Xenopus tropicalis: one gene and its partners. The protein of the gene in region 1 binds, or shares a complex with, the protein of each later gene. Links are inferred from orthologs where the notes say so. Each region holds a gene or a part of one and is shown in the gene's direction. Other genes may lie near its edges.

What was found. Proteins that work in one complex are often made in the same cells at the same time.
Region 2: usp39 (region 1) and lsm5 share a complex: the UniProt entries of both Homo sapiens proteins name them as parts of the U4/U6-U5 tri-snRNP complex. The link is inferred for Xenopus tropicalis from reciprocal best matches to the Homo sapiens genes USP39 and LSM5.
Region 3: usp39 (region 1) and ppih share a complex: the UniProt entries of both Homo sapiens proteins name them as parts of the U4/U6-U5 tri-snRNP complex. The link is inferred for Xenopus tropicalis from reciprocal best matches to the Homo sapiens genes USP39 and PPIH.

Annotation. Positions count from the first base shown.
Region 1 is NC_030679.2:125,759,232-125,763,548, forward strand, and holds the start of usp39 (U4/U6.U5 tri-snRNP-associated protein 2), read left to right. Parts: upstream 1-1,472; 5' UTR 1,473-1,497; coding exon 1,498-1,567; intron 1,568-2,397; coding exon 2,398-2,473; intron 2,474-2,549; coding exon 2,550-2,644; intron 2,645-2,731; coding exon 2,732-2,868; intron 2,869-3,678; coding exon 3,679-3,831; intron 3,832-4,030; coding exon 4,031-4,256; intron 4,257-4,317. Other genes in the region: UPF0561 protein C2orf68 homolog, read right to left, coding at 1,117-1,217.
Region 2 is NC_030682.2:61,893,492-61,897,524, reverse strand, and holds the start of lsm5 (U6 snRNA-associated Sm-like protein LSm5), read left to right. Parts: upstream 1-1,200; 5' UTR 1,201-1,317; coding exon 1,318-1,363; intron 1,364-3,290; coding exon 3,291-3,386; intron 3,387-4,033. UniProt on the Homo sapiens protein: Plays a role in pre-mRNA splicing as component of the U4/U6-U5 tri-snRNP complex that is involved in spliceosome assembly, and as component of the precatalytic spliceosome (spliceosome B complex).
Region 3 is NC_030683.2:94,758,839-94,763,090, reverse strand, and holds the start of ppih (peptidyl-prolyl cis-trans isomerase H), read left to right. Parts: upstream 1-1,419; 5' UTR 1,420-1,422; coding exon 1,423-1,488; intron 1,489-2,364; coding exon 2,365-2,429; intron 2,430-3,683; coding exon 3,684-3,707; intron 3,708-4,252. UniProt on the Homo sapiens protein: PPIase that catalyzes the cis-trans isomerization of proline imidic peptide bonds in oligopeptides and may therefore assist protein folding. Participates in pre-mRNA splicing.

The DNA of each region.
Region 1 (4,317 bases):
CTCTTTGAAAGACCCCAATCGGCATCTTAAATCTGCCCAAGTATGGCCACCTTTACACAAGGTAAACATTAGAGGCGGTGGCACATGAGGAGGTTGTGTACATTTGCCCCTGCATGATTTCAGCTCAGGGGTGACTAAATGTTCTATAATGCCCAACCACTAATCACCAGTCTAGGCCCTTCCAGTGCACTCTTGGGTCAGGTGATAATCGTTAGGAAATGGCTAGTGCCCTGTTTTTGAGCATGCCCACACTGGTATATAGTAATTTTGAAAACAACCCAGAATGCTAGTAGACCAATGGCTGTGACAGTTTGACATGCAAGGCTCCTGCAAAGTTCCTAAAAGGTACCTAGTTTGCCCATGAGCAGTAACCCATATAGGGTTGCCATCTTCTGACTGGGGAATGCCTGTGTGGGAGGCAGAACGGTGATGTCATGGGGTGAGGCGGATGATGTTGGAGGTGTGGTCTATGACATTGAGGGATTTGGTGGGGTTATGACATGGCGATCGGTGCCAGGAGTTCTGTCCGATTTCCCTCATTTGGAAAATGGGGCAGGGAGTTTGACCCGGACAGACAGACGTGGCAACCCTAAACCCATAGCAACCAATAAGATATGTGCTTTACAATAGGTGACCAGTAAATTCTACCTGCTGACTGGTTCCATCAGTTGCTGCTCCTGGGAAAACTTAGTGCCTTTTATTAAATAGCCCCATCCAAGTTTAAAAAGGTGCGGACTTTAAAAGTGGGTGTGGTCACTTCAAAATCTCAACAGGAATCCGCTAGAGAAGCATGAATGGGACAGCCCTTTTGGAACTGAACAGCTGCCTCCACTGCCCAAAGGAGTTTGGCTACACAAATATTGGAATTTCAGAAGCAAATCTGTCATTTATTTAGCAAGGAAACACTAGTTCATATTTCAGTGCATTTGAAGTCCTGCCAGCTTTAGGAACACAAGTACCAGGCAATGCCATGGCAGGGATGGTATATGAATAGATTGGCCCCAACAGCACCAGTATAACCTTCATGGAAGCAGCCCCATGGCCAACACTACGTGAACAGTCTCAGTGTTTCTGCTTTTTAAAGGAAAAAGTTCCGGCCGCTGCCAGCCCTATTACCTCGCGATCTGATTCCGCCGGATATGGTGAACGAAGCCGTGATTCATATCCAGCCTCCCACCGGGCCCGGCTTTGCCCTGCACCTCCACTTCCTCCTGCATACTCCCGGCTCTAGTCTACTTCCAACACGGGCACCCTTTCAATCCCAATACCGCCCCCTAGCTACCGCTGGTAGGAACTATCCCGTCGCAGCCGATTGTAGGAGAGATAGCGATTGGCTGTTTTTGTTTCGACAAAGGCTAATGTAGCCAATCAATGCATCCCTGACATTAGCGTTCCGTGACTCGTTCCTGTTGTATAGGAAAGTGTACGGAAGCGGCGTGGGGGAGGGGCTTCAGTCCAAAGAGAGGCGAGACACGCAGGAGAGTCGGTGGAGGCAGAATGAACGCTGAGAAGCGGGTGAAACTGGAGATGGAGGAGGAAGACGACGACGATGATGATGATGAGAGAGGTGAGGGAAACTCATTCTATTGATGCGACTTGGTGTGAATAGTGTAACGGATTGATTGAGTAAAAGCGAATGAAAAAGAGTGGTGCACATGTGTTAGCGTGGGGGGATAATAAATATGTGCTTCCTCCGCTTGTGTCTGTCACTGTGTCAGAGAAGGAATTTCTCCAGGGCCCTCACCATTACTAGGGCCCCCACCATTACTAGGGCCCCCACCATTACCGGGGCCCCCACCATTACCGGGGCCCCCACCATTACCAGGGCCCCCACCATTACTAGGGCCCCCACCATTACTAGGGCCCCCACCATTACAAGGGCCCCCACCATTACTAGGGCCCCCACCATTACCGGGGCCCCCACCATTACCGGGGCCCCCACCATTACCGGGGCCCCCACCATTACCGGGGCCCCCACCATTACCGGGGCCCCCACCATTACCGGGGCCCCCACCATTACTAGGGCCCCCACCGAGAAAATATGGAATCCCCCCCAAAACAGGATCATTAAACCTGTTTTGTCAGTGCTCCGGCCATGTCTGTGCATGGTGTCCCAGCATGGTACCTCTAAAGCTGGACACAAGGATGGCTGATTGGACCATTTAGGTCATTAATTTCTGTATGAAACTAGGTTCACATTTGCTGCCACCCTCTGATCCCTACCTGTGATTTTAGCCCAAGTAATGGCAGTGTCACTCTTCCATAATGTTTTCCTGGCAATCCAAGTGTGATTTGCAGGCCAAGCAGTTTAAGTGGGTGATACAGGTGAATTGTGCATGTTTAACTTCAGAACTGTACATATAACATATATATAACACGTGCATGTAATGCTGGCAGTTGTAGGAAAGCACGGGCGGTATGACTTTGAAGACAGACGTAGTCGCCATTGCCCATATCTGGATACCATTAACAGGTCAGTCTGGTTGTTTTGCTTGGGACTGTGTTGATTATGTACTGCTCACAAATAACACTGGTTCTGTTCTTACCAGGAGTGTCTTGGACTTTGATTTTGAGAAGCTGTGTTCCATCTCTCTTTCTCACATTAATGCATATGCTTGCCTTGTATGCGGGAAATACTTCCAGGGTAAGTAAGTGGCACAGAGTGTGTTGTTCAGATGAGCCCTTATTTTGTCAAATTTTTCTCTTTTTTTTTTTTTTTTCCCCCCCCAAGGTCGAGGCTTGAAGTCCCATGCCTATATCCACAGTGTTCAGTTCAGTCACCATGTTTTCCTTAATCTGCACACACTGAAGTTCTACTGCCTGCCGGACAACTATAATATCATTGACTCCTCCCTGGAAGACATTACGGTACTTGCACATCCTCTCTTGCCCCATTTGTTTATGTGACCTTGGCATTTTCTAATATGAAGACAAAAAATCAGGATGGCCCAGTTCATATTTGCCCAAGGTGCAATCTTAGTGCCCAGTACAAGTGGTATGGCGTTCCCAGAGTTTTTAGAGTGCACTGTTGACTTATATAACACAGGTGTCGGTAAGTTAAAGACTCTTATACTCTTAGACTCTTATACTCAAGAGCAACAATCCCTTCACTAACTTGATGTGTCTATCACAACACATACGTCTCCTTTAGTGAGTTCAACCACAGCCAGCAATTAGGATGGGAAAGGTAGAATAGCATATTATCCGCAAAAGAGCCATGGATCACCTGTACTGCTCTGATCATGCAACACACAGCAGGGCATACATCAAAAAGCAGATTTTATGGTCAGTAACAGGGAAACATAAGCCCAGTGATGGCAGAAATGTCTAGCTCCACTAGCTGCCTGTTGCCTTAGCATTTTTCCCCTTCCTTTGGCTGGCCCCCATTCTTCAGTACAGTCTTTCAAAGTTCTTTTTTTTTTTTTTTTTTTTTTTTTTTTTTTTATATAAGTGTGAATCTACACATGGAAACAAGGACTGGGTTTCTCCTTGGATTGAGAACATAGATGGCCTCAGGCCATAAGAGAGAAAGGTAGCTGTTCTTACAGAAGTAAAGGGCTTTGTAAAATGTGCACATTATTTCTATACTGTCTCTGTCTGTTCAACTGTGTCACCCCCCCCCCCCCATATTAACTTTGCTTTTCATGTTTTTAGTAACTATCTCTTTGTCTTCTACAGTATGTGCTGAAGCCAACCTTCACCAAGCAGCAAATTGGTAACTTAGACAAACAGGCCAAGCTTTCTCGAGCATATGATGGTACCACTTACCTCCCAGGCATCGTGGGACTTAACAATATCAAAGCTAATGATTATGCCAATGCTGTTTTGCAGGTAGGAATTTTCACAATATACAGGGCCTGTGTAACAGTTAACCACCTCACCTTCACTGCAGCAGAGAATCATCTCTCATCTATTTCACTGGATGCCCTAACATTCATCAGTCTGAAACACTTTAAACACTTTTGCTCCCACAGACCATAGTGCAGATTTCATGGCCAATGTACACTAATTTCTTTATGGTCACTTCCAGGCTCTCTCCAATGTTCCTCCTCTGAGAAATTACTTTCTGGAGGAAGAGAATTATTGTGATATTAAGCGCCCTCCTGGGGATATCATGTTCCTGCTTGTGCAGAGATTTGGGGAATTAATGCGCAAACTGTGGAACCCCAGGAATTTTAAGGCTCATGTCTCCCCACATGAGATGCTCCAGGCTGTTGTTCTTTGCAGCAAGAAAAATTTCCAGATCACCAAGCAAGGTGAATATCTCCACCCCTCTGTCCTGTTTTTTTCTGTTTATCTGAACATTTCAGGTCTCGC
Region 2 (4,033 bases), on another chromosome or scaffold:
GGCTGCAGGAGCAGCATGCAGCATTCCCTTCCGACAGACGTGGTGTTGGATGGCAAAAGTTACTACCTCACGTTTTTGTATCAGTCATTATATTTTGACCCACGTGATTACCAATCCACAGGTAAGCCCTTGACATAATTATTTGCTCTTTATCTCAAAGCTTAAAAAAGGCAGCAGTTGAGAAAAACTAAATGAAGGCTTAGGTAAACAGAAGGTTTCTAAGTGATCTTAGCAGGAAGTTGGGAACTGGTTCTGGAAATTTCAGAATGTTAGGTTTCAAAACATTGAGTTTTAGTAAGCAAATGACACACTGTCACTCTACATGCAGAAATCTTGAAATTAGGTAGAAGTTTTAATGACAGTTACAAAAACTAAACTTTTTTGTAGCAGCAGAGACTTTGAATGAATCATGCTGAATTTTTAAAGTTTAAATACAAGTAGTTAAAAAAAAGGTGACTAATATCAATCATCTATGGCCCTCAACACTATGCTCATGTAATGTGCAGGAACCAAGCAAACTGTGCAGTTGTTCAACACCTTGGAGGGCAGGCAAGCAGCATAATGCCTCTAAAGTACAGTATCAAGGGGTGGCTTACAAATTCTTGTCCTCTAAGATAAAACAATATTTATGAGTTTTGTAATTGAACACTACCCTACAAAAAATTAAAACAGAAATATATAATTTTCTGGATAAAGTATATCCCCTATAAATGCTAATGTTTAGGTACAGAAGTGACTGCAATCCTTTCCCCTTTTAGTTAAACAAAACACAGGCCAGAGGTACTTTCATGCCTCCTAAGAGCTGATTCAAGCTGAGCACCTGCTACATACAAAAACATCTGAAAAAGTTCTATACTTCGAATGTACTCGTCTAAGTTGGCACCTGGGCCCCCGTAATTTGTTCTGTATTGATCGGGGCTCCTATTAATTTACCTAAACGTGAGTGGTTGAAGTGGATGGTTAATATGCTGTACAGAGTCCAGAGCTGCTGGTTATTCTACATCTGACAAAATACCCGGCCAATTAGCAATCGCAATGAAGCCAAGCCGATTTTTTGAACATTCATTATTCTGGCGCAACAACAACTTTTGCAATCATTGCTTTGAAACATTCTTCTAGCCACGCCCACGTCCCCTGTTCGCTCTCTTCCGCCATATAAGGCCTTTTTCTGCTCGTCTGTTGATTAATCTTCCCTAACCAGGAAGTTTTTAGCGCTTGCGCTCGACTGCATAATGAGATCGGCAATCGATTGCTCTAGGTAGGTGACAGCGGGAGATTACGAAAACAGGAGGAAATCCGAAGTAAGGAATATCAAAGATGGCGGCTACCGTGACTCCCAATCCGTCGCAGCTTCTCCCGCTCGGTAAGGACTCTAGGAAATATGTGACTAGATCTATTCCAGTTCGAGACCTTTAGTGTGCAGTTACTAATTGGCTTTTATCTTCAATGGCGCTGTCCTATTTCATGCGACATGCTTTCTTTGAACTCATATTTGTTGTAGAATTCTGATATGTATGTGGCTTACTAGGGTTGTGAAGTACAGATGTAGTGTACCTGGAGTTAGCACTGTTGCTTGGGTTAAACAGCACCTGCTAGGTGACGTGCTTTAGGTTATCGGGCAAATGATGGAGCCGCATGGCAGCCCTGCGTTAGACAATTTATATTTTATACTGAACCTTTTAATTGTAAGCAGATAAAAAAAGAACAGAATTATTTTCTAGTTGATTTTTAGTTTACCTAGGAAAACTGTACATCATTCTTTTCTTGAGAACCTGAGCTCTAAATCTGAGTTTTTGTGTATTTCCACTTCTGGAACAAGATTTAGAGCTCTAAAGGCAAATAAAAGAAAAAAAAAAAAATATGATTATAGGGATTTATACCAGAAAAATCTTTTATTTTATGGATAAAATTTCAACTTATTCAGAAAGCCTAATATCTCTTGAATGTGCCTATACTAGGTATGTATAATTTTATGGAGATGTCTGACTTCTATAGATCGAAAACTCCCAGCAGTAAGTTATTGAAAAAAGTGTTACAGCAGAATAGGGCATACTTTAGATTCCATAGCCAAAAATCCTGAAACATTAGGTTTACCCCAGGATACCATTTATATTTTTTAAAAGTGCACATTCAACCAAATCCGAAATAGATAACCGTGTCTTTCTACTCTAAATGACTCCAAGGGGCTGATTTACTAATCCACGAACGGTCCGAAAGTGTCCGAATGCGTTTTTTTCGTAATGGTCTGTATTTTGCGATTTTTTTCGTAAATTGTCGCGACTTTTTCGTAGCCGTTACGACTGTTTCGCAAATTGTTGTGACTTTTTCGTTGCGTTACGACTTGCGCGAATTGTCACAACTTTTTCGTAGCCTTCGCGCCGAGTACGAAAGTTTCGGATTCATTCAAGCTTCAGTATCGTGACTTTTCTTGGGCCAGGTTGGAGCTGCAGAGTCCTATGGGAGGCTTCCAAAATCATGCTAAGTCTGAAAGTTTTGCCCGCAGTTTACGAGCGCTCAATACGAAAAAGTCGCGACAAGATACGAGCAAATCGTAACGGCTACGAAAAAGTCATGACAATTTGCGCAAGTCGTAACGGCTACGAAAAAGTTGCGACAATTTACGAAAAAGTCGTAACGGCGACGAAAAAATCGCAAAAAATACGAAAAAGTTGCAAAATGTTCGTTTTCCAATCGGAATTTTTCCCATTTGGATTCGTGGGTTAGTAAATCAGCCCCCAAGTGTCCGAGATGAAATAGAAATGTTCATCTCTGATACTGGCTGCTGCAATAGAAGCACCCGGTATGTGTATTATGTACCATAAGACGTCCTAACAATACGGAGCCCCTCGAAAACCGTATATTTTCCGAAAGTACATATTTTTATTAAGGCAAAAATGGCTAAATACATCTTTCTACTGCAAACTACCAAACAAAACTATGCTTTTTTTCTTTTTTTTTTTTTTTATTCCTGAAGGTTTAAATCAGTGGTTTTCAGACTTAGGTTTAGTCGCCCTCTTTCCTTTCAGTTATGCAGCTTAAGATCCAAGTACATTCAAATACATTTTTATACTAAAATGTGCTTTTAGTCTGAAGTTCAAAAAATATTTGACAGGCGATAAGTATTTACCACCACAATTTAGAAACCTTTGATTGTTCAAGTTTTACTTTCAAACCTAATTAATATATACACAATGTAAAATTATTTTTTGTATTTTAACATGTATTTTTACTTTATTTTTGCCTTATTTTAAAGTGTATTCTTAATTTTTTTTTTATTTCTGATCTTGCAGAGCTTGTGGACAAGTGCATAGGATCTCGCATTCATATTGTTATGAAGAGTGATAAAGAAATTGTTGGAACACTTCTTGGCTTTGATGATTTTGTCAGTATCCTTTGTCTGCTTACGCTTAGTTTTTTGTTTATTGCTTCAGTTATACTAATTTAGAATGTACCAAAATAAAATACCGATTTACCATCAGCAATAGACTCCATTCAGCATTCTAGATCAGCGTTTTTCAACCACTGTTTGTGCCGCGAGATGTTGCCTGGTGTGCCGTAGGCAGGGCCGCAATTTTTACTTTAAAAAAAAAATCCGGGCCCTGTCATTGGTTGCGCCCCGTGTGTACGGGTGACGTCAGTACGCACGGGGCGCAACGTTATAAAAGGGCCTGTGTGCGGTCGCGTGTAGGCAGAAGTGCAGAGGCGGCGCGCGTGAGGGGAAGATGCTGCTGAAGCCGCCGAAGAGTAAAATGCTGCTGGGCACCAATGTATTAGGGGGGGCCACGGGGCACACTGACTTATGGGGGCACTGCTGCTGGGCACCAATGTACTAGGGGGGCACTGCTGCTGGGCACCAATGTACTAGGGGGGCACTGCTGCTGGGCACCAATGTACTAGGGGGGCACTGCTGCTGGGCACCAATGTACTAGGGGGGCACTGCTGCTGGGCACCAATGTACTAGGGGGGCACTGCTGCTGGGCACCAATGTACTAGGGGGGCACTGCTGCTGGGCACCAATGTACTAGGGGGGCAC
Region 3 (4,252 bases), on another chromosome or scaffold:
GCCCCCATACACGGCCCGATTTTTTACTGTCAAACGACCGATTCCCGAACGATCCGATACTATCGTTAAGTTATCGTATAGTTGATGGTGTGCGAACGATCGTCGGCCCACTAATCGACCCGACATTATTGTCCCCAAAATCGATCGGCCAGGTTTAAAAATTTTAGTCGTTTAATGATAAAATCTGCCAGTTGGTGTGAGTGTCAGACATTTGTCTTCGAACGATTGTTCTCTGCGCATGTCATGATTGCCAGCAGCGGAAGTCAACGAACATAAATAAATAAATACCGCTTCCGCCACGACATTGGATCGTACGTAGATGTACGATTGTAAAAATTGCAAATTATCGTTGCCTGTGGATGGCATATCGTATGGAAACCCGGTCGCCATACGATCGTTTGTCGATATAATAGTTCGTCGCACAACGAGTGAAATCGCCTTGTGTATGGGGACCTTAACATCAGAACAGTTATCTGTTTTCCTTCTCAATGTATACTCACTCAGCTGTATGGTTGTAAGAGCTGACCAGTAGGCGGCGCTGTTTATAAGCAGATTAAAAGCTTTAAAAAATAATTGATGTAAAATGCAAATGTGACTAGAAGAGGACACTGACAAATTTATATTAACTTTTTAGGTTTTAGATATACTTTATTCCCCAGTCAATTTATTTGTTAGGGCCCAGGTTTCATACCCATATCAGTTTCTTGGGAAACCTGATTTCCCTGTACTTTGAATTTATGGAATAGTTTTGAAGGCCAAACAGCAACAAAGCTGCCAGTGGAGAGGGAGATTTTATGGGAAGTGATATACAAACAATAAAACCTCCCTTCTCCTCACAGAATACAGAGGGGATTTGGTGTGTTCCCTATGTGCAGCAGCCACAGGTAACCATAATTCTACCTACTGCATAAATACACACATACACCCACACAGAAGCAGAGCTCTGTTATAAACGCACTCTCGCCCACACAGCATCACGGCTGTGATCAGGCCACATTGAAATAGGAACTAAAAAAAAAGACGTTTCCGGTGTGGAGCGCTGAGGCGCTTGTATTAGCACTGCTTGATGTGAGAGCAAGGCAGACAGCATGGATATTTACAGATATGGATAGCTTCAACAGAAATAAATTTAATTGCACGGAACATGTGAATGCTACAACTCCACTCCATCCAAAACTAAACCTCTGTACTGCTTATATGTCAATGAGTAAATCAGGTTTAGTCACGCGTAAACGTACTGCTATTGCCACTCTCCCATAATCCCCTGCAAGGTTAGAAGCGCAGGCATATCGCATCGCCCACCAACTTCATGCGAATAAAGCGTGTAAAACAATGCACTGCGCCTGCGCATACAGCCTACAAGCAAGCCGCTTCTGGGATTGAAGCGCCGCCTCTTCTCTTCCGGTTTTGCCCCAGATAGAAATGGCGGTACCGGCTTCCAACGCTAACAATCCCATCGTATTCTTCGATATCAGTATCGGGGGGCAGGTAACACGCGGTGTTAAGTATAATACATTGAGAAAGCCCTGCATTAAATGATGATTCCATACTTACGTACTGAGAAGAATCTCGCCATGCAACACCACCTACAAACTGCAGCTGAGCAAATGGGGCTGCATGGTGTAGTGTAGTATTAGCAAGAAGGCTAAGTGTGTACTGTGACTGAAGGACAGATTTTTATATTCATAGCAGAAATTATTATGTATTTAAATTGTATTCCACGTGTATGGGCCCCACTGTTCTTTCCGATCTCTAAACCCTAAAACTTTACTGATGGTCCTAAACATGCACTCTAAGCCCTGAGAAAATCCCTAAATATGAACTCTAAAATTCTCATGGCATCCCAATTCATGAACCCTGCCCCCAAGGAAGACTGGGCGTGAACCCCAAAAGAGAGCCCAAAACAAAACTTGTAAAGCCACCAGACGGCTGATCAAACCAATTAGGGGAAAAAAGATCATCTTGGAAAGCTCTGAATATTATCCTTAGAATGTATGGAAAAAAGTCAACATGGAAACTAGACATTTTGGAAAATGTGTCAACATGAGGGCTAATTTGTCCATTCCGTGTCTTTGAAAAAGTTGTTCTTTCAAGCAAACTGTTGCTATACCTATTTATTCTGCATTTATTTAAATTAAAGTTATACAGAATATTAAAAACATTGGGTGGCCTAATTTTGTAAGCTTTTAAAGTTTTGTAATTGCTATATTTTATGCTATTCAACTTCAAATTAGTTTGCTTGTGTGTAACTGTGAAGAAAGGCATATATTCTGGGAAAACATGAAGGGTATGATGACTGTAATACCAATGTGCTAATTGTCTTTTCACAAAAAAAACTAATTTAATGTCCATTTACTTTTTCAGGAGGTGGGCCGGATGAAGGTGGAACTTTTTGCAGATATTGTACCAAAAACTGCAGAGAACTTCAGGTGAAGTTGCATGACTTTTGCTGTCAAAACTCTGGAGTAGTTATATAGCAACACTGACAAAGTTTGCAACTGCCCATAACCCAAAGCAACCAATCAGATGTTTGCTGTCATTATTTTAGTCTCACTAGATCAGTAAGACTAAGGGCTCTGGCACACGGGGAGATTAGTCGCCCGCGGCAAAACTCCCTGTTCGCGGGCGACTAATCTCCCCGAGTTGCCTTCCCCTGCCATCCCACCGGCGAACATGTAAGTCGCCGGCGGGATGGCAGATGCGGCGGCGCGATTTCGCGCAAATCGCTGAAAAAGACTTGCGAGTCTTTTTCGGCGATTTGCCGAAATCGCCTCGCCGCGTCTGCCATCCCACCGCCGGCTTACATTGTCGCCGATGGGATGGCAGGGGAAGGCAACTCGGGGAGATTAGTCGCCCGCGAACAGGGAGTTTTGCCGCGGGCGACTCATCTCCCCATGTGCCAGCTATCTGTCGAGCCTACAAAATAGACAGTACTGATAGGATTGTTTTGCCTTCAATAGGGATTAATTATATCTTAGTTAGAATCAAGTGCAAGGTGCTGTTTTATTATTACAGAGAAAAGGGAAATCACTTTATATCATTTGATTTACTTGATTATAATGGAGTTTATAGAAGATGGCTTTCCCTGTAATTCTGATTTTTCTGGATAATGGACTTCTAAATAATGGTTCCTATACCTGTATTATATCTAGCAAACAGTTTTTAAATAGCTTAAAGCTTTACAATTATACTAATAATATATTATCCACATAGAGTTCCTTTCTGTTTTGTTTCTCTCATCACAACTAAGTTCTTTAATATACAGCCCTCTGCATCTAAAAGAATTTGACAGCACTACTTTACACCCCTTGTTTCTTTTTTTCAAACCATCCAAAGGTCCCTTCCCACAGGCATTAATATTCTCACCAGCAATTTACATCAATGCTGGTTGTAAGGAAACTTTGGGCATTTGTCACCTGCACTGAAGGAGATTTAGTTTTAGTGTTTAGAAGTAAAAGTAAATGGAGGATAAAGTAAATTCATGAATTTCCCATTTCTGATGCTTAAAGCTGATGCCAGAATCAACCCATGTGGCATCAGTCTAAGGGGCTATTTCTGATATCAAAAAGAAGTTGTTGTAGACTAATGCATTATGTGCTATGCAGGAATGCATTGTTGTGCAAACAGATTACGTTAGGTAAAGTATCTGCTAATTGTAAATAATTCTTTATTTCTCATTTCAGGCAATTCTGTACTGGCGAATTTAGGTTTGTATCTGTACTTCTTTTGCCCCGATCGGGGGTTTGATCTAAGTAATGGGAGTAGACTGGAATAAATGTTGAAGCACAATTGTTTCCACAAATCCTCATAGTTAAGTTCTAAGAAACTGGCTTCAGTGCTTCTCTGTTTTCATTCATTGTGTAGCAAATTCTGCAAGAAGCTAAACTGTCCATTGGCTGCTTGGTGGGGGATTATGAATATAATAGCAACAATACTTTTTCTGTAGATCAACTAATACTCAAAATAGTACATTGAAATTAAACGTAATAAGCAATATGGCAGCTTTCCTGACAGGAAAGACAATAACTGTTTTAAAATATTAAATAGTGCACCGCAGATATTTTTAGCACCTGTGCTGTAATACTGACATCTGCTTTAAGGGTAGTAGAATATTTACTGCAGATTGCATTTGCAAATTAGTTCTGAGTTTATTTATACCCTCCATTGACGTTCAGGGCTGAATCATCGGATATAGAGGTAGAAACAATAGCAATTCTACCCCTATCTGATGGTTCAGCCCTTAATGCATGAT